Caenorhabditis elegans: one gene and its partners. The protein of the gene in region 3 purifies or fractionates together with the protein of the main gene of each other region. This does not show direct contact. Each region holds a gene or a part of one and is shown on either strand. Other genes may lie near its edges. The genes, in order: spt-16, par-1 and ctr-9.

Region 1 (10,172 bases), on a different chromosome or scaffold from region 3:
GTTGATAAAATTCGGGAAACTTCCGATGGGTCTCATACATCTAAAGACAGATTGAAATGAGAAACATCATAAATAGTGAAGAAATAAAACTGGTTCCGTGAACCATAGTTCCAAAGATCATGGGAAAACGAATTTTAAAATATTATTTGAATCATCATTGGAAAAATAATCAAGGAATTGGATAATTTAAAACGCGAAAATTGGCTGTACAAATTCATCGGAATCCAACGATCCTTCATCATCATCATCGGATTCAGTCTCTTCACCTTCACTTTCATCTTCATCACTTTCACTTCCTGATCCAGCAGATGCATCTTCTTCTTCAGGATCATAAGCATCCGAATCATCAGAATCATCCATTGCCTCTTCATTATCAGATTCAGCATTCAGGAAACTCCATCCACCTTCTTCAAAGAATGCTTCAAGATCATCAGTGATTGTCTTCATAACTTTTGCCCAATTGAGTGATTGAATTCCTTCACTGTACCAAATATCGCAAGTGTGAAGCTATTCTTTTATCTTATCGATATTGCTCATCAGGATTTGGGCGACCATCTGAGGCTTGGAAGAATTTTGATATTGTTGTAGAGAACATCGATACGATCACCGCGAAGAGATGTGTATCTGGAAAATGAATTGAATAAAAATCTTGAAAATTAGAGCTTTTGGGATTTTGCTTAAATATAATGAAACTGGTCCGCAACGGCGTAATTTCATAACGAAAGCTTTCAAAAAAAAGTCTAATCTTGCTGAAATCTGAAATATCGTCTTGTTCTTGTCGCAGGACCTGAAATGTAGTTTTTATGAAATTATAACCTTTTATTGCATATTTTGGTAGATTATCTCGTGTTAATTCGCGAATATAGGCACGTTTTAAGTCGATAGATATCTAAAAATTAACAAAAACAGATGAATATTGACTTTAAAAGTGTCTAAATCAAAAATTAATGCGATATAAACGACCAAATATTTAATAAAAGGTGATATTTAAAAAAAAAAAGAAATATGTAATTCAGAAAAAAAAGTCTTCTTTCAAAACTGCACCTAAATCCATTAGTATGAGCCTCCAACGATCCGGTGATAAGCTTCTGAATAATATTTGGACAAATCAGAAGATTGAGCTTTGGATTCAATTTGTTCTGGCTCAAAATCAATTTGTCCTGCTTAACAGCGCCTTCCTTCTCCCGTTGTTCAGCCTCTTCAGACTTGAATCTCTTCTGCATTTCCTTGATAAATCGGAATGCGGTGCTCAAATTACGGCTCGGAGCAGTCGAATCACTGTGATGATCCTTGATGTTGCTCGCACGGAACGTGAACTCCTTCATATAGTGTGCAAGTGGATGTGGGAATTGCCCACTATCCTTTCCAACTTGAGATCCTGGAGTGGCAAAGTTGATTCGAAGATATGTTAAATCGCCTTCAACTGATTGCGAACAATTCTTTATCATAGAGATATGGAATGGGACAGGAATTCCAAATATTGGAACAACCACAGAATCATACTTGCGATCCACGAAAATCAACATCTTCTGAACGTCTGCATCTTGTGGTAATATTTTGATAAACGTGCTCCAAACGAGGTGATGATTGTTCCAAACTGGCTGTGAAGATGAGACCGAGCTTTCATGATTCCATTTGAATTAGTAATTTCCACCAACATTACGATTGGATCATAGCATGTGTCGGCTTCATACTTGGCCAGTGCCTGTTGTACTTTTGAATCCTTCATGAAGGCGGCAAACTGATTGGAGAGAACAGAGTGACGGACTCGCTGAAAGAAAGAAAAATTATTGTTTTCTTGGGGTTTACAAGTGTTTTACCAAGGAGTACAACTACATAAGCCAGTTATCGGTGATAGATAAAAGGAAAAATAGTGTAGTCATCTAAAAAATAGCTTTTATTTCAATTGAAACAACTGGAAGAACGCTCAAAAATTATAGGAAAGTTGAATTTTTTGCAATTTCCAACTTTCAGATTGTTTTTGAGCACTTCTTCCGTTTGTCCAATTGAATTAAAAAGCTATTTTCAGATACACAAACTGTTTCTCTACATTCTATCACCAAAAGAACTCCCAGTTCAACTATTTTCAGAACGATAAGCACCTTTTCATTATCACTGATCTCCACGTAGCGAGCTCTCGCAGCTGTCCATGATGCGGTTGTAGCCTGTGCTGATTTTCGAATCAAATCCATCTCCTTATCGTCTTTAACTGCGAACAGATGAGTAAACGCGAGAGTAACGTCATTCTTATTGACACCGCCTTCCTCGAGCGCCTTATTCCACGAACTGACGAATTCCGAGCTGAATTTCTCTTTGACGAAATTTCCAACATCTCCGCCTGCACTTTTGATGTGATCAATGAGCTTTTCAAAGTTTCCAGCGTCTTTATCGGTTTTATCGCGGAGCAGTGTGCTGACTGTTGGCACTTTTCCTGAGCTCTGATTGTCTCCAGTGACTGATCCGAAGAATTCGACTTTGCGATTACTTCCGAGAATGTAAATGTGATCATTGAGAAGCAACAGGACTGTGTCAGCGATTTCGTGGCCAAAAAGCCAGGTCTGAAATAAAAATTTGTCTTGAGTTTGAACAAAGTCTGAAAAATCCTTACAAATAGTTCGCTGGTCTTTGTATATGGATTATCAGTCTCTCCGTATACAAAAGCAAGTGATTTGATCGAATCTAGACCATCGGCTCCCTTCTCCTGTAAAATATTTGTAAAAAAGTAAAAACTATCAAAAACAGATCCAATGAAAATAAAATGGAACTCGGTAATTTTCAAACTCAATCTCACAATTTTTCGATGGAAAACATTTTAAAAATATAGCAATTCTACAGCTTTTATGGCAAAAAAATAGGGAAAAAATTAGAATTCAAAAATGTTCGTCGACAACAACGCAAAACCACAATCGTGTCGAGACCCATCCGAGTAAGCCGATGTCCCTTTAACCAACCCTATCGCGGTTTTTTTTTAAATTTTTAAAATTTCTTCAAATATTTCGTCCGTTTCTCTTGTGGACCGCTGTTAAAATAGTTAAATACTTTATTTTTCAGAAAACAGATAATTTATACCAAATTGACAGATGTAGAGCTAAACTCCTCAAAATTTTCTAAAGTTCTTATAATTTTACTGTTGTCTGCGTTTCAAGGCCTGAAATATTGTAGGCACTATCGTAGGATTACAACCGGATTTGTAACTTTGATTATCTGAAAAGGAAAAATATTAAACTTTTCTTTCAGGATTTTTCGCAATTGCCGGCGTAATAATTGCTAAAAGTCGACTTTAACTTCAATATATTTTAGCATTCCGAATCTGAAACTAGTTCCCAAATGCCATCTCTCCTTATCATTATAGTCTTCTTGCTGGTATTCTTGGAAATTGGATTTTTCCCTGTAATGTGTGGATGTTGGATGGATGTTTGTACACTTCCATTATTCAATATAACATTATCACAAAGAATTGCAACATTTGCCACAGCTCCATTCATGTCAATATTCCTTCATTGGATGGTTGGAATGATTTATGTATTTTATTCAGCGTCATTTGTGATTCTTCTTCGAGAAATCCTTCGTCCTGGTGTACTATGGTTTATGAGAAATCTCAACGATCCCGACTTTAATCCAATTCAAGAAATAATTGATCTACCGTTCACGCGGCATTTCCGAAGACTTGTTGTATCTACAACTCTGTTCTTTTCAACGATTCTTCTGACATCCTACATCCCGCTCAACATAATCTCATCACTTATTCCACATCTTCTACCCTACAGAAACTCCACTTTCTGAACTCTCGCTGGAATTGATGTTTCTTCAAGAATTCATCACAATTGTGTACTCTCACATGGCCCCTCCGTAAATAACATGGCGGGAATATTGCATGCGGAGTGGTTGCGAAAGTGCGTGCGGCTGTTGCGTTCCTTGACCACGCCCAACTTCATTCCATTCTTTTTCGCGCGCAATCCTCACTTTCAGCTCTAATTTTTCAGAGTTTACAGTTCTTCAGTGAAAAAATATTTGTCTCGTCAAAACGTTTTTTTCAAAATTTTAAAATTGTGTCAAAAAAAATTAATTTTTTCGCAAATTTCAAACTTTTAGCCTATCCGAATCCGTTGCTGGTCACTTTGTTTACGTTATCGATTTTTGCTTCCATCTCTCAATCCTCGTGACTTTAACACAATTTCTAACTTTCAGGGGAGAAATGTCTGGAAAACGGGCAGTTCTCAACAAGGATCTCTTTTTCCAGAGAGCGGAGAGGCTTTATGAGCACTGGGTTTGTGACTTTCAGGACTTTACGAATTTTTAATCAAATATTTTACAGGAGAAGGGAGCCGATGGTCTAGATTCGATCAAATCACTTGCTTTTGTATACGGAGAGACTGATAATCCATATACAAAGACCAGCGCACTATTTGTAAGGATTTTTCAGAATTTGTTCAAACTCAAGACAAATTTTTATTTCAGACCTGGCTGTTTGGCCACGAAATCGCTGACACAGTCCTGTTGCTTCTCAAAGATCACATTTACATTCTCGGAAGTAATCGCAAAGTCGAATTCTTCGGATCAGTCACTGGAGACAATCAGAGCTCAGGAAAAGTGCCAACAGTCAGCACACTGCTCCGCGATAAAACCGACAAAGACGCTGGAAACTTTGAAAAGCTCATCGATCACATCAAAAGTGCCGGCGGAGATGTTGGAAATTTCGTCAAAGAGAAATTCAGCTCGGAATTCGTCAGTTCGTGGAATAAGGCGCTCGAGGAAGGCGGTGTCAATAAGAATGACGTCACTCTCGCGTTTACTCATCTGTTCGCAGTGAAAGACGATAAGGAGATGGATTTGATTCGAAAATCAGCACAAGCTACAACCGCATCATGGACAGCTGCAAGAGCTCGCTACGTAGAGATCATTGATCAAGAAAAGGTGCTTATCGTTCTGAAAATAGTTGAACCAGGAGTCCGCTGCAAGCATTTCTACATAATTAGCCAGTTTTTGGTGATAGAATATAATGAAGCAGTTGATGTATCTGAAAATAGCTTTTAATTCAATTGAAAAAGCGGAAGAACTGCTCAAAATCAATCTGAAAGTTGGAAATCACCCGAAAATTAAACTTTCATGCAGTTTTTGAGCGTTCTTCCAGTTGTTTCAATTAAATGTAAAGCTATTTTTAGATGACTAAACTGTTTTTCCTTTTATCTATCACCAATAACTGGCTCATTTTTTAGTACTCCTGGGAAAACCACTGTTTTAATCCCGAGAAAATAATTCTTTTTTATTTTTGCAGCGAGTCCGTCACTCTGTTCTCTCCAATGAGTTTGCCGCCTTCATGAAGGATTCAAAAGTACAACAGGCACTGGCCAAGTATGAAGCCGACACATGCTATGATCCAATCGTAATGTCCGGTGGAAATTACTCGTTCAAATGGAATCATGAAAGCTCGGAATCTCATCTTCACAGCCAGTTTGGAACGATCATCACTTCGTTCGGAGCTCGTTTATCAGAATATTGCACAAATTTGACGCGAACTATGCTCATCTTCCCATCTTCTGAACTTGAGACTGCCTATGAAGCGATTCTTGCCGCCGAGCTGGCAGTAATTGCTGCTCTGAAGCCAGGAGCCAAGCTGAGCGATGTTTATAAAATTGGAATCGATACATTGACGGAGAAAAGTCCAAAACTTGCTGAAACTCTGAACAAGAAAGAGCTTGGATTTGCGACTGGAATCGAATTCCGTGAGAGTCGTCTTGCTATCAGTGCGAAGTGTGACGAGGTTGTCAAAGCAGGAATGGTCTTCATCGTTTATATTGGTGTCGATAGTATTCCAAACAAAAATAAAGGAGAAAAAGGAAAACCCGCCGCAATTGCAATCTCGGATACAATTTTGGTTAAAGAAGAAGGCGATAACGAGATTCTCACCGAAAAAGCCAAATCACGCCTGAAGTCCAACGTCATCAAATTCAAAGAGGAGCAGGAAAACCGTGAAGCTGAAAAGGACAATGATCAGAAGAAAATGCTCGGAAGAGGTCAGAGAAGTGTCGTTCTAACTGATCAGACGAGAAATAAGACGACAAACGAAGAGTTACGTAAGGAACGTCAGAAAGAGCTCGGAGTTCAGTTGAATGAGCTCGCAAAAGCTCGTCTTTCAAAGCAAGGCGGTGGGACCGATGAGAAAAAGTCGAAGAAATCGAATGTGTCATATAAAACCGAAGAGAGATTCCCACAAGATGCAGACGTTCAGAAGATGTTGATTTTCGTGGATCGCAAGTATGATTCTGTGGTTGTTCCAATATTTGGAATTCCTGTCCCATTCCATATCTCCATGATAAAGAATTGTTCGCAATCAGTTGAAGGAGATTTCACATATCTTCGAATCAACTTTGCCACTCCAGGATCTCAAGTTGGAAAGGATAGTGGGCAATTCCCACATCCACTTGCACACTATATGAAGGAGCTCACGTTCCGTGCGAGTAACATCAAGGATCATCACAGTGATTCGACTGCGCCGAGCCATAATTTGAGCACCGCATTCCGACTCATCAAGGAAATGCAGAAGAGATTCAAGACTGAAGAGGCTGAAGAGCGGGAGAAGGAAGGAGCTGTGAAGCAGGACAAATTGATTTTGAGCCAGAACAAATTGAATCCGAAGCTCAAGGATCTTCTGATTCGTCCGAATATTATTCAAAAGCGTATCACTGGATCGTTGGAGGCCCACACTAATGGATTTAGGTACAGTTTTGAAGGAAAACGAATGTTTCTGAACTCAAAAATTGCCAAATTTGAAAACTTTCGTTTCGAAATTATGCCGTTTCGGATCAGTTTTAGTCTATTTAAACAAAAAAAATCTAAAAGCTCAAAATTTCCTATTTTTATTTCAATGATTTTCCAGATACACATCTCTTCGTGGTGATCGTATTGATGTTCTCTACAACAACATCAAACATGCATTCTTCCAACCGTGCGACAATGAAATGATCATCCTTCTGCACTTCCATCTCAAGAATCCAGTATTGTGGGGAAAGAAGAAGTATAAGGATGTTCAATTCTACACAGAAGTCGGAGAAATCACTACGGATCTTGGAAAGTATCATCATATGCAAGATCGTGATGATATGCAGAGTGAACAGCAAGAACGTGAAATGCGTCGTCGTCTCAATGCTGCATTTAATAGTTTCTGCGAGAAGGTGTCTCGTCTCACAAATGATCAATTTGAATTCGATTCTCCGTTCGCTGGACTCGGATTCTTTGGAGTTCCGTATCGTTCGGCTACCACACTCAAACCAACTGCATCGTGCCTTGTTAATCTCACCGAATGGGTATGTTTTTTGAATTTTATTCCTGAATTCTTTTATATTTTATTTATTTTCAGCCTACATTCATCGTCACACTCTCCGAAGTTGAACTTGTCCACTTTGAACGTGTCTCTCTTCAACTCAAGAATTTCGATATGGTCTTCATCTTCAAAGATTACAAGATCAAACCTCAGATGGTCGCCCAAATCCCGATGAGCAGCATCGATAAGATAAAAGAATGGCTTCATACTTGTGATATTTGGTACAGTGAAGGAATTCAATCACTGAATTGGGCAAAAGTTATGAAGACAATCACTGATGATCTTGAAGCATTCTTTGAAGAAGGTGGATGGAGTTTCCTTAATGTTGAATCTGATAATGAAGAGGCAATGGATGATTCTGATGATTCGGATGCTTATGATCCTGAAGAAGAAGATGCATCTGCTGGATCAGGAAGTGAAAGTGATGAAGATGAAAGTGAAGGTGAAGAGACTGAATCCGATGATGATGATGAAGGATCGTTGGATTCCGATGAATCAGAAGGAAAAGATTGGTCAGATTTGGAGGAAGAAGCAGCGAATGCTGATAAGAGACGTGAAGTCGAAGAACCTTCACGTGATCGTGATCGTAAGAGACCACATTCGAGCAAGTCTGGACCATCGCACAAACGCAGAAAGTAAATCCTGTTTGTATAATTTCCTCCGTTTTATTCTTTTGTTTTGTTTTTCAACTATTTAAATCCCCAAGAATTTTCTTCGCATCTCAATCAATCAATCCGTCCCGTTACACCCCCCATTTTACAACAATTTTACAACTAAAATCTGTCAATCCCCTTATTTTTCTTTCCCACTCAAAATTTGAGTCGATGCTAAAATATTTTTGATTTCAAAATCAATTAATGTCAAATGAAGTTTCATGGAGGCACGTTTTTACATAATTTTGTCGGTTTTCTGAAAATGTTTCCGTTTCTACTTTTTCTGATTAATATTACAACAACAAAATTATACAGATTTCTAAAAAGGAAAAGTTTTGCCAAATGGGTCTCGCCGCGCAGACGACAGGTTACTGTAGCTCGTGTTGATCTTCGAGCCGCTTTAGAATATTATGCAAAAGCGTCATAGACACGAGTTACCGTAGTCCTCGTGGCGAGACCCATTTGGCGAAAAGTTTTAATTTTAGACGTCTGTGTAATAAGCAGTTGCTTGAAACATGAAGATCGTATGCAGAGGGTGGAGCATTGGAATGCTCTTGACATGCCACGTGTCTTGCACTTAGCCCTCTGATTGCGGTGGATTTGTGGGTTCGGTGAGTGGGAATTTTGCTGAAAATAATTTTTTAATTGAATAAACTCGCTAATTTCCGATTTACAGATGCCGAAACCACCTGGCCCAGTGGCAAAACGGTTAAAACTGAAGGATGATTCAGTTTCGGGTTCCGATTCAGCATCTACGAGAACGAGTCGAAAAACACGTGGAAAAATGATGAGAAGTAATGAAAAAATAGGAACTTTGACGATGGATGAAGCCATTAAAGCTGCTGAGAAGATTACAGGATTTCAGAAAATTGGTAATATTATTGTTCCGCTGAATAGAAGGATCAGAAAGAGGCAGAGGTTTTGCAAGACTGTGGCGCGGTTCGATGCATTTCGATTTATGGAGGGTTCTGTAATACACGTGGACAAGTTTTAACATAAAAATAGATCCAATTTTTAATCAGAAATCGATATAATAATTTAGAAAATTATTTTTTCCAACTGAAAAGATATTTATTTTTGTTGAAAAATTTGAAAAATGCCCGAAATTTGTCGTTTTCCGTTAAATTATATTTTACGGCAAATTTCAGGCATAACTTGAGGTATTTTTTCAAACGTTTCAACAAAATAAATACTTTTCAGATGATTCACAGAGATATTCTAAGTCAAAAAATTAGAATCGACTTTTACCTGAAAACATATGAATATTTTTAGTGAAAAAACTATATTCACATTTGTCCACGCGTAGTACAAAATCCTTCGTAAATCTACATGATAAAACTGTGCCGCAGACTTGCAAAACGCTCCACTTTTTTTCAGATTTTAAACTGAAATTAGAAATTCACAGCTCAATTCATATCGATTTTTGAACAAATTTCAAATTTCCAGATCTCCGCCTAACACATCGTCGAGATTCCGATGCTGCAAACTCGATGAAATGGATATCCACATTTGATGAAGATGACGTGGTTATTCAACGAAAACTCTGTATGATATGTAAGCAGAGTCCGATGGATGCTTTTTTCAAATCTCATGTTGCTCAAGCTCATCCAGCTACACCATCGGAAGCATCAGAAGTGATGAGAAGACTCAGTGACGTCAGATATTCAAGATTTTGTCAAAATGGACAAATTTCGAAGGAATCTATTCAAAAGATGTTCCCAACGATTTCACCGATTCTTCTGATCAATTTTCTTGCCGGCTTAGGATTTATAATATGTCGGAAAGATTATAATAAGAAATCTGTGAATTTTGAGAAGAAATATCAGGGATCCGATGTTCGTGGTGTCTCAAAATCCGAAGCCAATGAAATTCTGAACTCTTTAAAACAGAATTCCATTCGATTTCTGGATGAACTTGAATTCAGTGCTGAAATTGTTACGAATGCAAGAATGCTTGATCCTTCAACTCAATCTACAGTTCAATGCCATATTTGTGATAAAATTTCGAATCTGAAGAATTTCACGCGACACATGCAAATTCATAGGGATTCCTTGGAAATTTTGGGAATCAAATATTCATTGGATGACGTCATTGAAATATTTAAAAGAATCACTGATGTTCGAAATACGTTGTACTACGCAGCACAACCAATATCACAATCAAAAATCATGGAAATTTGTGAAGGAAATGTCGAAGTT
Region 2 (10,172 bases), on a different chromosome or scaffold from region 3:
AAAAATTTTTGGCGGGAAATTCAAATTTTCAGTGAAAAAATTTTTGGCGGGAAATTCAAATTTTCAGTGAAAAAAATTTTAGCGGGAAATTCAAATTTTCAGTGAAAAAATTTTTGGCGGGAAATTCAAATTTTCTGAGAAACTTTTTGTTAGCTTAAGTACCACCTGGAACTGGCGAGACCCATCGTGGTGGGACCTTTAAAAATATGGGCGGGAGCTTCAAAATTTATGAGAAAAGAAATTTTGGCGGGAATTCAAATTTCCAAGAAAAATTTTGGCGGGAAATTCAAATTTTCTGAGAAAAAGATTTTGACGGGAAATTCAAATTTTCTGAGGAAAACATTTGGCGGGAAATTCAAATTTTGGTTCTGGAATCAATTTTTTGTTTCAGCACCTTCTGGAAGTTTCAAGAAAATTCTAGAATGTTCTAGAATCATCTGGAAAATTCAAAAAAGTTCTGAAATGCTCTACAACCTCCTATAACTGTAGGAGTTTTTATTTGTTTCGTCACATCTATATTCAAAGAACTTACTATTAGTAGTTAATTATTCAGACTTCTCCAGTTAAGGAAAGTTATTAACTTATTGAAAAACTGTAACTCTGTGGAATTTTTTCGGGGGAGGGGGACAGCTCGCCACGCCAACAGTGAGAAAAATAGTGTGGTGCGCGGACCTCGAATGATGTCGGCGGCTGATATTACCTGGGGTACCGCTTTTTGCCTTTTCCCCGTGAGTGAACGAGAAAAAGGCGGGGACTATTTTGGCGTACACGCAACGCAGTTTTATAATTTTGAGTGTAGAAAAATCAGAACATTCTAACTGTCTCTTTGAATTTTCTGAATCGAATACCATGGAAGAAGAAAATGCGATTTAATCGATGAAGTTTCAACTTTTTTAATGATACATTTTTGAATGATTAAAAGGACATCTATGTATTATACATTTTAAACTCCGCCAGTCGTTGGCCGCGCCGGAGGCGCGGTCATCGACTGGTTTTAATAAATAAAATTTTTAAAAAATTTGGAAAACAGAAAATTTGCCAAAAACCGGGAGTTTGTAACTACAGTAATCCTTAAAGGCGCTCGGTCGTGTCGAGACCGGCTACAGTATGTTTCAAGCTCTAATTTTTTGATAACTATTTTTTTTCGAAATTTCCAATCATCAAGTGCTCACCTTTGCAAAATTTCCCTTTCCAATAGTCTTCAATAGCTTATACTTTCCAACGTGTACATCCTGATCGTTGCGTCGTGCTGCCGATCGACTTGACATACCCGATTGTCCAGTAGATCGTGCATGTGATGAAGAGCTGGAAAAATTTTTATTGAAAACTGGTGGACTGGGGCTTTATTTTAATTTTAAATGTGAACTAAAATTAACTTTTTTCGGTTATGTGTGACATGATCTCCATCAGGTGACACTTTCACCGTTCGCCGTTTCCCAGATGAAGTTAGTGTGGGAGCCATCGGAGCTGTAGTGACCACTTCAGACACTTTTCGCTTCGGGATCAGAGATTCCTCCTCTTCCGGAATAGGCGTCACAGATGAACTACTTGGCTGGCACATAAATCTAGCGAGTAACGACGAGTATGCCGCATTGAACATATCGAATTAGGTCAAACGGACGCGTAAGAGCCCTGGGGCTCCCCGAAATGGAGCAAAGCGTGGAGGACGGACACACTGGAAAAAACGAGGAGAGCGCCGGCAGTAGAAGAGGAGCAAGCGAGCAAGAAGAAGAAGATGGGCGGCCTTTCTCCATACACATCCATCCATCCATCCATCCACACTTTGGAGAAGAGACACAAATTGCATCCATGTCTCTCTCTATCTGTCTGTATTCCTCTTGAAAAAAGTGTGAGCAAAAGGAGAAAAAAACTAAGAGGGAATATGTGTCCCCTTCTCTTTCTATTGCTCCCATCACATCGGAATTTCTCCAAAAAACCCTCCCCGCCGACCGATAAATGCCCCCACAAAGTGCTGCTCCAAGTGCTACATAAAATCGTGTCCCCCCCCCCCCCGCCATGCCTCTTCGTTTTTTCTAATTTCCCTTCGCGGACCCCCGTTTTTTTGTGGCTTTGATGGACGGGGCTCGTTGAATTTCTGTGTTTAAATTTTCATTCGATGCTGACTGCTTGCGGGGCCATCCAACGTCATCTCGTTGTGCTTGCAATTCTTCATTTTGAGTGAAGACGTCAGCACAGAGGGGAAGAAATGACGACTTTTACAGCCGATTTAATGAAAAAAAAAAACTCGAAAAATAGCGCTTCGGAAACTTTTTTTTTTCATTTGAGACGCGTTGTTCCAATAGAAAAGGAAGTTCCAGCCCCTCAGTTAGAAAAAATTGTTTTTCAAAAAGAAAACCGTTAAACTGCCTTTTTTGGATATAAAATCAAAGGTCAACCGAATCTAGAAACGTACTAATTATATTCGGCCACTTTGCCCCATTTAGTGGCTACGTTCATCATATTGCCCGTACCTCGTAGAACACAAAAAAAGTAAGGCGAACTCAGGCGCCGGACATAAAATGTAAAATCTGATGTTCAACAAGAACAACGATGGTCTTCTTCTATACTACAAGCTGCTATGATGAATCATGGAAAATTTCTTGCAGCACGACCAACGAAAAATTGAGGGGGCGATGAGTCATATTCAAGAAGAGAAGCAGCCGGAAAAAATATTTTGAAACAAGATAGAAACCTGGTCAATTCATATTCCGGAAAAAAGGTCCGAGGCTGTTGAGATGGATAATATGCAGAATGCCGTGAAGATGTGGAAGGTGGTGAATATGAATATGGATGATCGTCACAGCACAAATCATCGAGATCCAGTGCAAATGCGTACGATTTCTTCGTCATCTTAACAGTTCTTGAATCTTGAATCGCGAACAATAATTGAATAAAATAGTGTCGCACGTGAATGTGTAAGGTGATCCAGCAGCTTCTGAGCAGGTGTGTCAACCAGTCTGCACTGTCAGTCAGTTCAGTACAAAAATGAGTCAGTTCTTCAATTCTCTCAGTCGAGGCGCTTGTCGTTTTCTCACAACGTCTGCGTGTCCACCTCTCCTATTACTGACTCTCTTTCCGATAAGTCAATAATAAAAATTGAATAGATTGGGGGTGGAGGAGGTAGAACCGAATAGAATAGGACAACACACCAGGTGCACCGAGACGACGAAGATGGAGTTGAAAAAAAGAAGTTCGCGTCTCACTTTTCTTCTTTATAATCGTACTAACCGAGAAACTCATCACAAACTCTCGGATTGACGTGGCACTATTAAATAGGTTGAGAACTAAGAGGGTGGAGGAAACATGAAAATGTACACCAAAGAGCATCATTACAAAAGCAATGAATAGGGTTGTGCCAGTTTTTGGTTGTTAGTCAATTAGATTCCAGCTTACAGGAGCTCCAATAGCTTATCGATTGAAATGGTTCAAAGTCTATGAATCACATCCGGCGGGCCGTCAAAAATTGACTCCGTCATGTCTGTGAAGTAGTGATAAAGTTTCTGTTTTTGTGTGCCTATTGACTCATTTTTGACAGAAATTTGAAACATGGGATAGGTTGGAACTTTACAGTTTAACAGGGTGAGTTATTCTCATGGGTAAAGCATTTCGAAATTTTTTTGAAATGTTTTTATTCATTTTCAAAAAGTGGCAATCTACTTTTGGTAATCGGCCACAAAATTCTGCGAATTCTAAATTTCTCTAACGTTTTCCAAAAGTCGGCTAATATTCCAGATATTATTGTTAAGATTTTATACTCCTTAGATTCTTCACAAAATTTCCACTAGCGATCCTTCCCTTCAACATTTTCAAATCTTTTTCCCGAACATCATAAAATTCTCTAAAGTAACTCGAAACTGTACTACCGCTTACTTACTCGGGTGGCTTCCACATAAATTTCATAACTTCACGAATAACAGCTCCGCGTGGCAGTGTGTTGACCCCGTTGGAATAAACTGTTCTGGCTGACGGATGACGACGCAAAAGCGTCCCCAATCAGCTTTCACTCAAATTTCAGCTTTCGGTTCCGGGTTTTCAGCCGTTTGGGGACTGAAGAAACGCCAGAAATGTTCCGAAAAAATTTAGAATACACTGTGTGAGGAAAAACGACGACGATGAAAAAAACAGCAATGAACAGCAGAGAATAAGGAAAAGGAGAAGCTACTGCTGCGTCAATGTCAGTAAAAAGAGGATGAATCAGTCTTTCTTTGAGAGGATGAATATTGAAGGCCCCGAGGGCTCGGGGGTAGAGAATGAGACACGACAAAAAGTCGAAAAAGAAGACAGCAAAAAAAGCAAAGCAAAAAGAAACAGAGGAGGATTGAGCTGTGAAGCAGAGAACAAAAAACTCGAAATGACAGATCGCTTTTTTGAAAGGAAGAGCTATTCGTTTGAAAAGGGCACAATTTCGAACGTATTGGTCCGCGTTGGTACAGCTCAATAGAACATTCTAAAGCAGTGCTTTTTTGTTGAACATTTTTGGATGGATAAAATTTATAGACCTGTAAATATAAATGTACTTTTGGAAACATAAAATTCGTGATCACGCTTTGAAAATTTATAATCACTTTTTTATTACTAAACCGCAAAATTATACGTTTCAAGGAAAAAAAACATTAGTGCTATCAAAAAAAAATAAATAAAAAAAAATAAAACGTCATTGTGATAACCTACATACGCATTCTGCAAAAGCAACACCTCAATTAGTGGTATTTATCAGGGAAAACAAAAAAAAACATTCAAACAAAATGACCAGAAAACGTGATTCTTGTCTGGAAAATTATGAAAAAAAAAGTTGAATGCAGTCAGAGATATCACCATGTTTTTTCTCGTCAAAACTAAGAAATGAGGGATTAGAAGGCTAGATGAGAATGAAAAACGACGACGACGGGATTGAAAAGAATGGAAAATGCTGGTGGCGGAGGTTCCGGAATGGATTAGCACACACAGAGGACATGGATATACATATTGAGAAGAGTGTTCAGCTCAGCGCAGAGCACACATACTAGTTGTTGGACCACCACAAACCGCGTCCTAAATTCATTGAAAATTCCAAAGAGATTGTTCTCCTCTCTGACGGCCGAGTAGACTTCGACCCCCAGCAGCAGTTATGGAGAGGAAGAAAAAAGAGCGTGTGGTGAAAAAGTTCCACTAGCATGGACAAATATGGAAATAGTAAAGCTCTTTTGAAAGAACATTAGCCCTGCGGAGAGGATGAAATATGATGATGATGTATTCTGATTCGGATTGAAAAAGCTTAAACAACAGCTTTTCAACTTTTCAGGATCAGTGAGCTTTTAGTCTAAAGAGATACTGAAAATGACGACTAAGACGTCAAAAAGACGAAGAAGAAGAAACAACAGAAATAGGAAGAAGGCGACGAATAGGAAGAAGAAGAAGGAAGCGTAATTTGCATAATATTCGAGTAGTGTATGCTACGTGTGTCTGTGTATGTGTGCTTACTCCCCCTCTTATTCTCGCCACCCCTAATTATTGGGACTTGTTCGGCTTTTGAGTAGAAAAGACATCATCAAGATGGCTCATTCGATTACTTGGTCTTTGGAATTGAAGAGAGACCTCGGAAATTGTGAACATTTTGACATTTTTATTTACATTTTCAATTTTTTTTTATTTTTACACTTTTAAAATATTCAGAAAGGTCAGCAACCTTCAACTGTACAATAAGTCGTTATTATGCAAATTGAGTATTAAAAACTTGGCACTTTTGAAACCATTTTTGGATTAAAATCGAATAAATTATTTTTTTTTGTAGGAAAAAAATTTAAAAAAAAAACAACAATTCTGTTTACTTGTTCTGTACAATTGAAAAAAGTGATTCAAAAACAAAAGCCTTTTCTTATCAGTAAGTGTTGATATCGAAAGCTTCTCTCCGAGCATCAATCATAAAAAAGTGTCTCGTCAAAAAGTACAAAAGGGAGAAGGAGTTCTTTGTTAAAAGTATCTCTGAACCATTGGGAGCAGTTTGAATTTTTCAAAGTTGTCATAGAATTACTAGAAAAATAGTCTTCTGAAGAGATTGAGAGAAAAAGGAAAAAGCCGCCGAATATCTGTGGGTGCAAACAACTAACGAAGAATTGAAAATAAGTCAGTGAAGATTCGAAAAACAAACAATTTGTGAAGAAATCAACGAACGAGGAGAGATGGGCGAGAGAAAATTGAGACAAACTGCAGTGAGAAAACCAACGGGCAAAAAATTAAAACTATTTCGGGAAGTTGGTTCAAACTTTGATCAATTTGTTAAACTAACCCTTCAAAATGACCCCGAAAATACCGAATTTCATAACGAGACCTTTCAAAATTACAAATGGCTAAATTTCAGCAAAAATATCGAATTTGTCAACTTTTCCTAGTCTTAGAGGCCGGAAATTGTTGTTTTTTTTTTCGTTAAGTTAAACATATTTCCAGCCGAGAGGTTACTAAAATATCGACTTTAAATGAAAAAATTGGAGATTTTAGCTGTAATTAAGTCATTTTAGAAATTCTGAAAGACCTCGTTATTTTGAGTGAAATGAAGCAAACTATTGAATTTTTTCAACAATCGAAACCAGAAGCATGGAAAACAACAAATTTTCCCCCATACCTGTGTCCGATGGAAACAATTTCACATTTTTAATTTTAATTGAAAAATAAATGTTTCCGCTTTTTCTCCTTTTTTTTTCTTTAAGAAAAAAAAAAACACTCACCTTCCAGACGTTGGATGGGATCTCCCACTACTCGAATATCTAGCCGAGCTTCCACCCGATGAAGCAGCCGGTGCTCCTGATGATGCCGTTGTGGTGGCTCCAGATGTTCCTCCGCCACCGGTGGCAGTTGCCGTCGACGTTCCGTTCATTTCTTGTGCAGGACGTCGATGATGTGATGAAGAAGTTGAGGATTCTGTTGATGGGCGCGCCGGATGCTGAAATTTAAGGATTTAAAAATTTTTATTGGGCAGGTCAACATTTGAAAAAAAAATCAAATTTTGTTCAAATCTGAAATTTCGCTAACTTTTTTTGTCGCAGCAGATGTAATGCATTTTTATCGATATCGACTATAAAATTTTTTTAACCAACGAATTAACGGAAGATAAACTATCAAAATTTGTTATACCGGGTGATTATTCAATAAAAACTGTATTTACACCAGGACAAGTAGCGAAATTTCAGATTTTAAAAGAATTGGCTCGGCAAAAAATGTTGGAATGTTTTATTAGAAATTTCATTACGAAATTCGTTAGTTTCGGATTCATTTAAGCAAAAATATTAAAGGTTAACGAATATTTTGACTTAGACTATCGCCGGTCCTCATATTTAGCAGAAAAATTAATTTTTATACAGCTGTCCTACCTTTTTTTGACCATTTTTCTTAGAAATTCCCATAAAATAGCCTGAAACTCTGGACATTTTGTATGGCGGTTTGCCAGGTCGACAACGAACAAAACGAATGATTTCTATATTGAAAAATTCTCTCCCACCTCTCTCTCTCTCTCTTTTTTTTCTCAATTTTTCATGCAACAAACAACATTTTTGTTCTGTCTCCCCACATCTCGCGCCCCGTCGAAGTTTTCCATCCACAGGTCGTCAATTTCCGTTTTTCGTCATATTTCTATCAGTTTTCAGCGAAAAAAACGACGAGGAAGATATATATTGAGAAAACTAGGAAACACGAACAAGGTAAATTGAGTGATGATGGGAGCGACGGCGGCGGCGGCGCAACGGAACGTCGTTGTCATCATCAAATAACACTGTCTGTTACTCGGAACTCTCTTTATTTTCTTTTATCACTAATCTTCTCGAAGACCGCCCGTGTCTTGGATGAGATCTTTTGTGTTGCACCGAACACAGAAAGTTCACACAGAAAGTTCTTAGACTTGAAAAAAATATACATTTTTTCTGAGATCTTACTTTCAAATTTGCAGTTTTCAATCCGCTTCCACTCGATTTCCTTGTTCCGCTATTTGTTGAATGCGGAATTTGACCGGGTGGCTGATTTGACGACTGTTTATCCTGAAAAATAAATAGTTTAGTTTTGTAACCCGAGTTTCAGGACGTTTGAGCGATTATTATATCAGATTCAAAGTTGATTATGAGAAAACAATGAATAAATATCGATTTCAAAAATATTTTATCAGTTTTCCCGTTATCAAACGCTTGGAATTATCGGTTTTGCCATGTAAAAAGCGAAAAAATGTGAAAAATTAATTTAAAAAAATGAGATGGCCTAGATATCCACACGTCGGTTTCTAGGCCACCGCTACACTTTTCGGCGGTAGTTTGAAAATTGAAACGAACCTTATTAGATTTCTGGTTTTCTTTCGATGATTTCTGCTGATTATCCCCTGGAGGCGTGTTCACATGCTCCTGAAATAAATTTCCTTATAAAAAATGCAAATAAAAGTGCAGAAAATTATGAATAAAGTAGGCATATGGCTAGGAAGATATTCAAGTGGAACATTTTTTTACTCGTTCTGACGTTGGTAGTGGTGTTGGCTGACGTATTTTAAAACATTTTCAAATAATCGATAAGTGTTTCGGTTTCAAAGAGCTCTTGATGAGAAAACGAGAGAGAGAAATTGGAGGAAAGAAGGCTGAGAGAGAGTGGAGAGTGCAGAGAAACAGACAGAAGAAGCTTCTTGGAAGTGAGGAGAGCACAACTGACGCATGATTCGGTGCAAAACAGTATTGTACAGAAGTTTGTGATAACGATTGTTGACTGAAAAAGGAACTAAAATTTGCACGTAAAAGTAATTTTAAAACCTTCTAAAGTTAAAATGAAATCGACAACATTCAAATTTTTGAATGATAGCCTAACTTTCCAAGAATATAATACTAGGCCACAGCAATGTAACACTCCCAATCTGTTATTCCTCCGTGCGCGCGCGCGTGTAACACCCGTAACAATCCGAAATTCAAATAGAACGAAGCCATGTTCGCCTCACAATCAGTGTTATTTCTCGGGGAAGAGCGAGATTGGGAGGGGAGTGTTCTGTGTTGTCTCAATTCTTCTTTCTCGGTGAATAATATGAGAGTGTTACAAACTAGCTTCTTCTTCTTCTTATTCTTATTTCTCTACCGCCACCACCACCATCATCATCATCGTCACCAGCTGGACTTGTTGTACATTCATTCAGTATGGGGTCGGTGGTGGAAAAAAATGGAGAAGGTAAAACAAACAATGGATGAAAAAATAGAGAGGAAAATTGAAAGAAGAAGAGAGAAAATGGGAGAGAAAGAAGTGGTGGGAATCTAGAGAATAAAATGAAATGCTAGAGTGATTTGAACTTTTTACGTACTTGAAGAAGGAAAAGTTCACATGAACTACAGAGCTAGGTGTTCTTATTCTGCAGCTTTCTGTAGCGTCTACCCAAAGGCGCATGCATTTATTCATATGGGTCTCGCCGCGAAAAAATAGTGAATACGAAAGATTTTTCCTATTGTGCATATTTAGTGACATAAACTCATACACTTAAACGTGACTTCATTTAATTTCTAATATAAAATTATTTGAAAAATAACTAAATTAATTTTTGGACTTTTCTCGTGGTGTGGCCCATTCGAATAAATCTGTACGTACGAGACACAGAGCGAAATATGCGACGTGGCCTTAAAGTATATCAGCGGCCTAGTTTTTTTTGCAAAATTACGATTGCAACAGATTTCAAGAGCAAATCTCAACACTAGTGTTGTTAACGCATATTACTGTTCAGTAAAAAATTAATGGCCTGGGCTGTGAAACCTCGGCCATGGGTGCTTCAGACGTTCAATGACCTACAATCGTCAAACAACTTTCCTATTGACCGAGAAGCGTGAAGTGGAAAAGGAAAAGGAGTTTCTAGGCGAAAAAAGTGGGCGCGGGCGGGAGGACAATCACCAAAATCACACGCGGACCGGGAAAAAAGGGCGTGGTGGTGGGAGGTTGGGGTGACTGAATTCTCATTTTAGGAATGGTTTTGGTCTATTTGAGTGAGTGAGTGTTGTCCTTGAGACTAACGGAGGACACTCCTATACTCTCTTTCTCTCTGTCAATCTACAACAACTCTTTTTGTTCGTTTTACGCTAGAATGGTTAGATAGACGTGTGGAATAGTGATGCTGGAACTAAGAGAGAGCACAGAGAAATTGGAAAAATGGAACTTTTTTCATGTTGAAACTATGCATAATAGAGAAAAAGTGGAGG
Region 3 (10,172 bases):
TCGTGATAATGGAAGTTGAAGGCCATTTCCAAGTCAAGTCCAACGAACTCGGTCATATGACGATGGGTGTTAGAATCTTCAGCACGGAATACTGGACCAATAGTGTAGACCTTTTCAAAATCTCCGGCAATAGCCATTTGCTTATAGAGTTGTGGAGATTGAGCCAAGTAGGCGGATCCTTTGAAATAGGAAACTTCGAAAACATTGGCTCCACCCTCACTTGGCGCAGAGATAATTTTTGGAGCCATGATCTCCACGAATCCTCTAACATCGAGAATGTTTCTGAACTGATTACAAATTCCGGCTTGAATTCTGAAGATAGCATGAGAGGTTGGCGTACGAAGATCGATGACACGGTTGTCAAGTCTTGTATCGAGATTAACAACAGCCAATTGATTCTCCTGCTCGCTGGCTTTCTCTTCGTCAGTTGGTGCTCTGCGTGATGCATCCTCAATTTGGAGCGGAAGCTTTGGAGCAGAAGTTGAAACGACAAATACTTGTTGAGCAAGTAGTTCGACATCCTTTTGTGTGCAAGATTCAATTGGATTGTCAACCTTGTTGATAGTAGCATAAACGTCAACAATAGACTCCTTTGAGATAGAAGAAACAAACTTCAACATTTGCTTGCTAATCTTTTCGTTCATAAACATTGCTACTTGAACGGTGTAGACTCCCTGACGGAGAACGAGGAAGCAATTCTTTCCCTTCGATCGAGTAGTGTGAATGCGCCCACGGACCCAAACCTACAAAAATGTGAATAAGATGAGCATATCCTCTGTTAAAACTCACGTCTTTTGTTGCGTTGGAAACGTTGATCTCCTTGACTTTCAGAAAGTTCAACACCTTCTTTTCCTTAGAGTTAACAAGCCCATATGATCCATAAAAGTCTTTGGATGCGTCTTCTTGGTCCATAGCGGCAGCCTGTTGTTGGTTTCCTCCTTTCTGAATTTATATTGCTTAGTTGCGAAATATTTCAAAATAGCATTTGAGGTTATAGAAAATTATTTACTTTAAAAATAAATAGCTCAACAGAATTTTCAATAACTCTATAAATTTAGACTAAACCCTATTTTAACGAGCATAGTTAACAAAATCTCACCTCTCCAGCTTTCTCATCTTTCTTAGCTTTTCTAGCAAGCTTATTGAGCTCCTTCTTGGAGAGTTTTGGTTGTTCACCTTCGGCAGCATCAGCCATTATCACCTGAAACAAATTAGCATCTATAAAACCAATGAAAAATTAAATTTTAGCTTGAAAATAAGGAATTTGTTTACAATTTGGGCTGAAAATGATGAAGTGTGTATGCGCGTCAGTTCTGATGTTTGTGCTCTCTGCGTACAATGCGTTACACTTCACGCGCATCGCGCCTCGTTCGAAAAGATATTTTTTGCATCCTGTTTTTCTCAATTTCTTCTTGAATTTCAAAGTTAAACGTTATTTAATCTTTATATTTTATTCATTTGCTTATTCTTTTTGTAAGAATTAAAGTGAGTTTATCATAAATCCATGATTTATTCTGCATCAGCGCTTGGAAAGTCTACTACCACGTTTAATCTTTAAAATTCCCAATCTTGGGTACTATTACTTGAATATTTGTCAAGAAAGATCTAATTTGTGTTTTTTACAGGTCAGAAAGTCCAAGGAGATGGACGAAAGTATTGATGATGTGCAAGAGACCAGAACAATCGCTATTCCATTGAAAGACAGTCACGAAGATGTAAGTTTTTGTTTCAAAAGTGTTCATAATTTCAAAAATCGATCGTTGTTGTTTCTTAGTGAGGAAATTTGGGAATATTGATTCATCATGTCGGTAGGACTTTCAAATTTCGAATTTATTTCAGCCAACCGACTTGATTTATCGATATTTTTGAATTTCAGGGTACGCACTTAAAACGTCTCCGCCGTTTCTCAATCGAAGTCTGGAATTTAATGCAAAACTGGGCGACAGCTTCTGAAAAATCAGTCCAATATTTGGAATCATTAGTTAATTCACGTCTGAAACTGCTATATTCGCGAGAAGTTGATGTAGAGGAGTCTGCAAAACTAACAAAAGATCAATCTGATCGTGTTCTCAATGAGATTGTTGTTATGAATTCAAAACTGAATCAAACTATGAGTGATTTTGAGAAAGTTATTGGAAAATTCGAAGTTGCACAAGGACGAATGTCAGCTTGGAAGCAATTGACCGAAAAAAGTCAAAATATTGAAGAAAAGTACATTGTGGAGACCCTTGACGAGAATTTGCCGTTAATAATTACAATGCTTAAGAAAGAATTGAAAGTGAAGCAAGACGTGCTCTTCGATTTCGCTCAAAATGACAGCCGGGACGTATTTACTCTTGTCCTTCTCACATTTAAACATGAACCATTTGTTGATGTCGCCCTTCTTTCCAAATTATTCGCATTAGTGGCCTCCGAAGCACAATGATCGATTTTTATTAAATATTATATTGTTTAAAAAAAACGTTTTTTATGTTTGTTCGTGAAATAAAATCTTGAAAAATTAATTTTCTGAATCAAATAATGAAAAACTTATTCAGGAAGTAATTGAAATCAACTGCTCCGAGCTCCCCGATGGCGAAGAAGTCCTTCAAATTTTGGAAGCAGAAGAAGCAAAGTTATCGTATTGGATTGAAGTTGCTCTCGAATATTACAGACAAGATCGTGTTGATCTATTCATGATGATTCTAGAATCTGCTGGATCTCGTGCTGGATTGGAGTATGAAGGAGTAAAACAGGATCAAATGAGAGCATTGGATATACTTGCTGCCTACTGGATGACTCAAGGTTACAGAGAGAAGGCCAAGGACAAGAAAAGTGATTTCTTCTCGAAAGCTACAGTTCTTTTCAACACAGCCGATAAAATTGCGATGTATGAATGGTCTCACTTGACAGTTCGTGCTTGGTTTTATCTTTTTGAACGAGATAAAAGTACAAACAAGTATGAACTTGCTGATCAACAATTCAATTATGTCGTTAAAACCAATCCGAAGAATGTGCTCCCGTTGATTGGAAAAGCTGTAATCGCATTCAATAAAAAGGATTATAAAACTGCAATCTATTACTTTCGAAAAGCAATTCGACAATGTCGTCACACAATCGCAGATCTTCGAGTCGGAATCGGTCACTGCTTCGCTAAAATGGGAATGATGGACAAAGCGAAAACGGCATTCGAAAGAGCCATGGAAATTGAACCATATAATGTATCGGCCATGTGTGGTTTGGGAATTATTCTGTTGAACACGTACGACCATGACAGCCTCAAACACGCAGTCAGTTTGTTTGGAAGATCTTATAATTTACAAACTGATCATCCAGTTGCTCTTATTCATCTTGCTAATCATTTCTTTTTCAAAAAAGAAATTGAGCGTGCATGGACACTTGCCTGGCATGCAGCAACGTATAATGATTGTGATTCGATAAAAGCTGAAGCTTTCTATCAAATGGGAAGATGCAGGCATGCACAAGGGCAATTTGACGGTGCTTATAAGGTTTGTTTTTGAGTTTTCAAATCATAAACTAAAAATATAAAATTAAAAACTCGAAAGAAACCCCGGAATTTTGTCATTGAATCCTGAAAGCAATCGAAAAATCAAATGATTTTTATGTTAAAAAAAGCTTCAGAAAAAATGCACGGAAATATTCTAGAATTTTGAAATTTTCTTATTTCGTGTCTCGAAAGACATTGCTCTAAATTCTCAAAAAGTCCTTTTTTTTTAAGTTTCATATTTTTCCAATTTACGAAAGCTTCGACTGAAAATATTCAAAAATCTACCTAAAATTTTTGTGTTTTGGCCATTTTGGAATATTATACGTGTAAAATCCTACTTTCAGTACTACTACCAAGCTCGACAAGCAAACAATGGAGAGCACACCCTTGCTCACTATGGACTTGGTCAAATGTACATTCATCGAAATGAAATTGAAGAAGCAATCAAATGCTTCGATACTGTTCATAAACGATTGCCAAACAATACAGACACGATGAAAATTCTTGGAAGTCTATATGCTCATGTTCAGCTAAACGATCCGGCACAAACAGCAGAAGCACGGCAAAAGGGACGGGATGTTCTTGGAAAATATCTGGCAGTTGAAAATGATGACTATGAAGCATGCATCGACTTGGCTCAACTTCTCGAAGCAACAGATCCAAAACGATCTCTGGAATTGTATGAAAATGCAATCGACTTGCTTGTAACAAATGAGAGTATTCAACCACAACCCGAAATGCTCAACAACGTCGGTGCTTTGTATATGTCAATGAAGCAATATGAAAAAGCTGAACATCACTTCAAAAGAGCTAAAGAACGTCTTGAAGAACAATTGAATACTGATGAAGGGTCTCTACTTTTAGAACGTAGAAGTGCTCCTGAAAAATCGCACCTTCTCACAATTCGTTACAATTTGGCTCTGTGCTTGGAGCATCTTTGTCGTACTGTTGAAGCCGAACAAATGTACAAGGATATTGTGAAAGAATGTCCTGGATATATTGATGGATATCTTCGTCTTGGATGTATCACTCGTGATCGTCATCAAGTCTATGAATCGTCTTTGTGGTTGAAACAAGGCGTTCAATTTGATCAAGCATCACCAATTGTTTGGACTCTTATTGGAAATCTTCATTTTGCAAAGAATGAATGGATGCCTGCCCAGAAGAAGTTTGAATTCATTTTGTCGAAGATTTTCAACAACAAAATTCCTGATCCATACTCGCTGGTAGCTCTTGGTAATGTGTGGTTCGAGCAGCTTCTCAATCCATCAAGGAAAAAGGAAGATGTAGGTTTTTTATTGCTTTATCACTTGCATTCTGAAATTTATTCATATTAAATTTTATAATCGATACCATTTTGTACTTAACTATTAAAGAATGAACAATATATTTAATTTTTATTTTCAAACAATTTAATAATATTTTGTTTCAGGAGAAAAAGTACATTGACCGAGCTCTCCAAATGTATCAAAAAGCATTGAAACTTCAACCAAAAAACATGTATGCTGCAAATGGAATCGGATGTGTGCTTGCTTATAAAAGAAACTGGAATGATGCTCGAGATGTTTTCAGTCAAGTTCGCGAGTCTACCAGTGAATTCTACGATGTCTGGCTCAATATAGCTCACGTTTGCATGGAACGAGAGCAATGGATGGCTGCTGTTCAGATGTATTCGTCTGCGATGAAAAAATTTCGAAAGGAGAATGACTCGACATTGCAACACTATCTTGCAAAGGCCTATTACCGAGCAAATATGTTGAATGAAGCCAAGGAAGCACTTGAATGTGCAATGCTTGATCAATTGGATAATACCCAATTGAAATTTAACTATGCTATTGTATTGAAGAAATCTGCAAAAGAAGTACTTCGAGGTCACAAAATGACATCAGAACAAGTGACTGCGGCTATAGATGATCTCAAATTCGCCGACAAAATTTTCCAATACATCTCTAAAAATGATGATCGTCAATCGAGCCATACTGGAATGCGAATATCGAGAACAATCTGCGCAGAAGAAGCTAAAAATTGCAAGGATTTGTTAACTCAAGCAAAGCATAAATTAGCAGCTGCACAGACTCAAGATGAAGAAGAACGTCGTCTTATGGAGAAGCAAGAGAAAGAGAAGATAGCATTGCAGAACAAGATGATTGAGGAAGCTCGTGCTAAGGAAGAAGCTGAAAAACAGAAGCTCGAAGATATGAAGAATCTTAGATTATCATTCATAGAAATGACAAAAGATGTTCTCAGACTTCCAGAAATTGTCGAAGAAAAGAGAAGAGGAGGTGGTGGACGGAAACGACGAAATGATGATGGTGATGAGTTTGTTAATGATAGTTCTGATGCTGGAAATTATGATGGAGAGGAAGGAGGTGAAGATGGTGAACGAAGAGAACGAAGGAAGAAGGATAAGGCAGCAAAGAAGGCATCCAGGAAGAAGAGAGAACGTAGAGATAGTGGTGGACCTGATTCGAACAGAAGAGATGAGAAAAAGAGAAAGAGGAAGGAAGAGAGGGATCGAAAACTACAGGAGAAGCTCTCAGCAAAACAATCAGCAAAGATAAAATCTCGTGCATTCTTATCTTCATCGGAATCTTCTGATGATGACAAACCAAAGCCTGCTGCTGATTCATCGGATGATGAGGTTGATCCGCGGCCGCCAGTTGATGAGTTTGGTTAGTTTATTGATTTCTGATTTTCAAAAAATTCCATTTTTTGCAGATAGTCCAACCCGAACTGACAGTGATAGTGATCGTGAGACAACTACAAAAAAGAAAAAGAAGAAGGCTGTTGTGGATTCTGATGAAGGATCAGTCTCCGGATCTGGCTCTGGATCGGATAATGATGATAAGCCAATTATTGGAGGTTCTGATGGTAATCATAGATTTGAAAAAAAAAACGACAACCGAGGATGTCGCCTTCTGAAAATACCTGATTATTTCAAATATCTCAAAATCGAAAAAAATACTAATATTTTTATTTTGAAAAATATTAATCAAAAAACGAAAATTTTTCGATTTTTAGTTTTATTCAGTTTTTATTCAGTGATAATCGGAAAAAACTTCAAACAATGTTTGGAACATTTGAAAATATTAAATTTTAAACATTTTTTCGAAATACCTGAAATCGCAAAAAAAAAAGAAAAAAAAACACTTACAAATTTTTTAAAGGAAAATTACAAACCATTTCAAAATTGTACTAAAATTTAGACTATTATCGCACAAATGAAATTTTTTCAAATTTTCGGAAAATCGTATACAAAATGTTGAAATTTTCAGATGATGATGATGATAAACCTGCTGGTGGAAACTCCAGGGACAGTGATGGAAGTGATGCTCCGAAAAAGAAGGTTATCGAGAGCGACAGCGACTGAACCAATTTTTTTTAAATTTAAAGTTTTTATTTATTTTTGTTGTTCACAAATGTTTTATTTGTACTCTTTGTAAATCTAGCATCTTGTGCTCGTTCTCACAATACATTCTCCCGTTTTTAATCACCGAGTCCAAGACTTTCAATCTTTGACATGAATTCATTTATCAAACAAATAATGGTACCTGTGAGTTCGTTTTCGTTAGTCGCAGAGTTTTCGATTACAATTTGAGACCAGTTTTCGTGAGGAGCGAGGGCATTTAGGACTAGAAGGAGGGAGCAAAGAAAGCATGAAACAATAGGACGAATTAAAGAATACGAGATAGCAAGAAATATAAAATAATTGGAAGATAAAATGTAGAATAATAATAAGAAGAAGATCCAATTGGTTGAGATTGTGTAACTGGAGGAAGGGATGCTGTCGTTGTTTCCAAAATACGTTCTTCCACAATTCCTGAATAATTTAACGTTTATTGGGGTTTTGAAGATAAGTGAAGCATATTACACAACAATTGCAATTTTTGACGCAAAAATACGGTACCCGGTCTCGACACGACAAAGTTTTGTCAAATACAAACTGGGGTCTTCAAAAAGCACTGTAATTTGAAATTTTCGTTGTTGTGAGTTTTTCTCACGATTTGGTTAAATTTACGTTTTTTTTTAAATTTAAGCTTCCATAATGGAGTTATTCAAGTAGTGTCGGAAAGTTGAAAAGTGTAGAAAAATTACGTCACAACTGTATAAAAACATGTATTTTTATACATTTGTGACGTCACAAATGTATTTAAATACATTTTTCTACATTACTTGAATAACCCCATAACGATAAAATATGAAAAATTCATGAAAATTCATTTTGGTTTTGAAAAAGGCGTGTCGAGACCGTGGAACAAAAATCTCAAAATTTCGCGTCGAGGTTAATACCGGAAAGCATTGAGAAGCATGCATTGGACAATTTTTAGGAGGAAAATTCATTTAAATTTTATTATAAGGACGCAGCCCATAAACGTTGGGTCTCGTTAGGTATTCGACGGCAAAATTCTGAATTTCGTTTTATCAATTTAAAAATAAAGAAACTACGGAAAACATGTTAAAAATAGGAAAAATGATTACAAGCGAGTGATATCTGCAAAAATAATTGAAAACGTTTGAATTTCTGGTTTTGCCGCCAAAACATAACGAGGCTCAACGTTTAGGGGCGGAGCGTTTTCAGTTCACCGTGTAGAGCGCTTTTACGTATTCATTTATTCTACGTCCCCATAATACAGTTTTTGTATTAGAACATGCTAATTTAGTAAAAATCGTTCATTAATATATACATTCACAAAATTTCTACAACATAAATAGAGATTATTAAATAATTATTATATTTCATTTAGTAGTGAGGCATCTTGCATCGACGTGTGATTAGCAACAAAACGAGGCTTGGAATGGGGGAAGGAATATTTAGAGAAGATGTGTGAGAAAGTGAGACGCAGACAGTGAGACAATATCAGACGGTACCTGTCAAACAGATTATATGAACTCAGAAGTAACATATTATATTTTAGTAAGGGAGCTGTGAAGAGGTAAAAGTCTTACCGATAGTTCCACATGCAAGTCGGCTTCCAGCATTTCCAGTTGTTTTTGATTGGTCTGAAGTACCGCGTCCCAAGTCATCAGTCTGAAACAGTGAAGTATTTAATTGAGAACTAAATGAACATTGAGAGCTTAGGCTTAGGCTCCGGCTTACGCTTAGGATTAAGATTAGGCTTAGGCTTAGTCTTACAGTTAAACAGGCAGGTAAAAAAATGTCTTTTGAAAATTTTAGATTGTTTCTCCGCTATGATAATTCGAACACCAATGTCGTTTACTTTTTCCAATAGATTTTTGATCTTTGCCATTTCAATCAACAAGTCTGGAACAATCGAATGCTCATAAATATTTGTTTCAATCATACACCTATTTTTTTCAAACTTCTCATCCTCAACAACACCCAACATCAATATTTTTTATAGACACTGCCATCAAATAACGTGAAAAATCATAAACCAACTCACTTTTTCATGAATAACCACACTTCGGCCAATGATTGAATATTGTCCACTTAATGAGGCAAGAGAGTCGGAAACTGAAATTAATGTGTCTCCGGAAGCCTGAAAAAAATATAATCTCCATGAGATGTGTACATATATAATTACTAAAAGGCACTCAAAAAAGAAAATTTGTTGTGGCAAAGTTTTAAAACCAACTTATATTTTTGGTGGAATCGAACTTCGGAGTGTTTTTGAGATAAATATGGTAATTTGTCATGCATGTTTATATTTGGCCCTTATTAGAATTGACTACATACATTTAAAATCAAAATGCAAGTGGTAGTCACCATGTTTTCACTAGACTTGAACATTTTTTTGTAAAAATTGTATTTTGAGATTTGGTAATTTTAACACAATATCCTGGAAGTGTTCTGTAAATTCTTACCGGTGACTCAATATTTCCCAAATCTCCAATATGTCTGTTCGAGTCATCTGGTGCACCATGGCTCAGCTTATGAGGATTATAATGTCCACCAGCACTTAGACAACCATTTCCAGTATCTCCTTTTTCATGAATATGGAATCCATGTTTTCCAGCTGCTAATCCGGAAACCGATCCGTTAAGCTGAAACAATAATTGGGTCAATGTTTTCACACTGAATAATAGTTACCTTCAGAAAACTTCCAGATTGATCAAAATCAATAGTTCCAATCAATTCAGTTGGAATTTTTCCAGCTTCAGCTTTGAAAATGTAGGCACGTGCACGAATCACTGAAAATAGTTTTACTTATAACTTAGAGCAGTGAAATTTTATAAGGAGCTATTGAAAATATAAAATTGAAATTTTGTTTCTGAATTATATATTTTTTTTTTTTTTGGGAGTTCTAAGAATTTTGAAGTTTGAGCCCCTACAATCTTCAAATAAAATTGCCTTAAGTAGAATTAAAATATAAAACTTGTGGAAAATTTTTTTTGGTCAACTTCCAAAATTATAGAATTTGGTAAAGTGCAAAATTTTTAAAAAATTTAGTTGTTTAAAGAAAACTCCTAAAAGTTTCCTAGGACTGTTTAGATGAAAACAATTGTAAAAAGTTTAAAATATAACCCTGGAAGAAAATTATTTTTCATCGACTTCCAGAATTATGATATGTGAAAACTGAGTAATTGCCAATTTTTGCAGTAAACTTTAAAAAATTAAAAATATTCTGACTTTTTAAAATATACGGCGATTCAAAAAATATATAATTGTTTACCTTCGGAAGCGGCTTCAATGCAAACGGAGAGAGCCAGAATTAAAACAACA

What was found.
Region 1: the proteins of ctr-9 (region 3) and spt-16 fractionate together in Caenorhabditis elegans (co-fractionation; one large-scale study listed by BioGRID). This does not show direct contact.
Region 2: the proteins of ctr-9 (region 3) and par-1 fractionate together in Caenorhabditis elegans (co-fractionation; one large-scale study listed by BioGRID). This does not show direct contact.

Annotation. Positions count from the first base shown.
Region 1 is NC_003279.8:10,784,942-10,795,113, forward strand, and holds spt-16 (FACT complex subunit spt-16), read left to right. Parts: upstream 1-4,188; 5' UTR 4,189-4,195; coding exon 4,196-4,267; intron 4,268-4,315; coding exon 4,316-4,408; intron 4,409-4,458; coding exon 4,459-4,914; intron 4,915-5,275; coding exon 5,276-6,717; intron 6,718-6,877; coding exon 6,878-7,304; intron 7,305-7,357; coding exon 7,358-7,960; 3' UTR 7,961-8,211; downstream 8,212-10,172. Other genes in the region: F55A3.6 (uncharacterized protein), read right to left, coding at 1-40; F55A3.2 (C2H2-type domain-containing protein), read left to right, coding at 8,651-8,846, 9,421-10,172. UniProt on the Caenorhabditis elegans protein: Component of the FACT complex, a general chromatin factor that acts to reorganize nucleosomes. The FACT complex is involved in multiple processes that require DNA as a template such as mRNA elongation, DNA replication and DNA repair.
Region 2 is NC_003283.11:14,124,939-14,135,110, forward strand, and holds the start of par-1 (Serine/threonine-protein kinase par-1), read right to left. Parts: upstream 1,601-10,172; coding exon 1,377-1,600; exon of another isoform or gene 1,318-1,376; intron 1,306-1,317; coding exon 1,173-1,305; intron 1-1,172. UniProt on the Caenorhabditis elegans protein: Required for cytoplasmic partitioning and asymmetric cell division in early embryogenesis. Phosphorylates and restricts the asymmetry effector mex-5 (and possibly also mex-6) to the anterior cytoplasm of the zygote.
Region 3 is NC_003281.10:9,490,015-9,500,186, forward strand, and holds ctr-9 (RNA polymerase-associated protein CTR9), read left to right. Parts: upstream 1-1,625; 5' UTR 1,626-1,643; coding exon 1,644-1,715; intron 1,716-1,876; coding exon of another isoform or gene 1,877-2,425; exon of another isoform or gene 2,426-2,504; intron 2,505-2,537; coding exon 2,538-3,488; intron 3,489-3,831; coding exon 3,832-4,773; intron 4,774-4,919; coding exon 4,920-6,159; intron 6,160-6,205; coding exon 6,206-6,358; intron 6,359-6,762; coding exon 6,763-6,857; 3' UTR 6,858-7,030; downstream 7,031-10,172. Other genes in the region: dars-1 (Aspartate--tRNA ligase, cytoplasmic), read right to left, coding at 1-743, 790-942, 1,100-1,195; sod-4 (Superoxide dismutase [Cu-Zn]), read right to left, coding at 7,162-7,307, 8,435-8,516, 8,893-8,988, 9,314-9,493, 9,540-9,640, 10,123-10,172. UniProt on the Caenorhabditis elegans protein: Component of the PAF1 complex which is a multifunctional complex involved in transcription initiation via genetic interactions with TATA-binding proteins, elongation and transcription-coupled histone modification.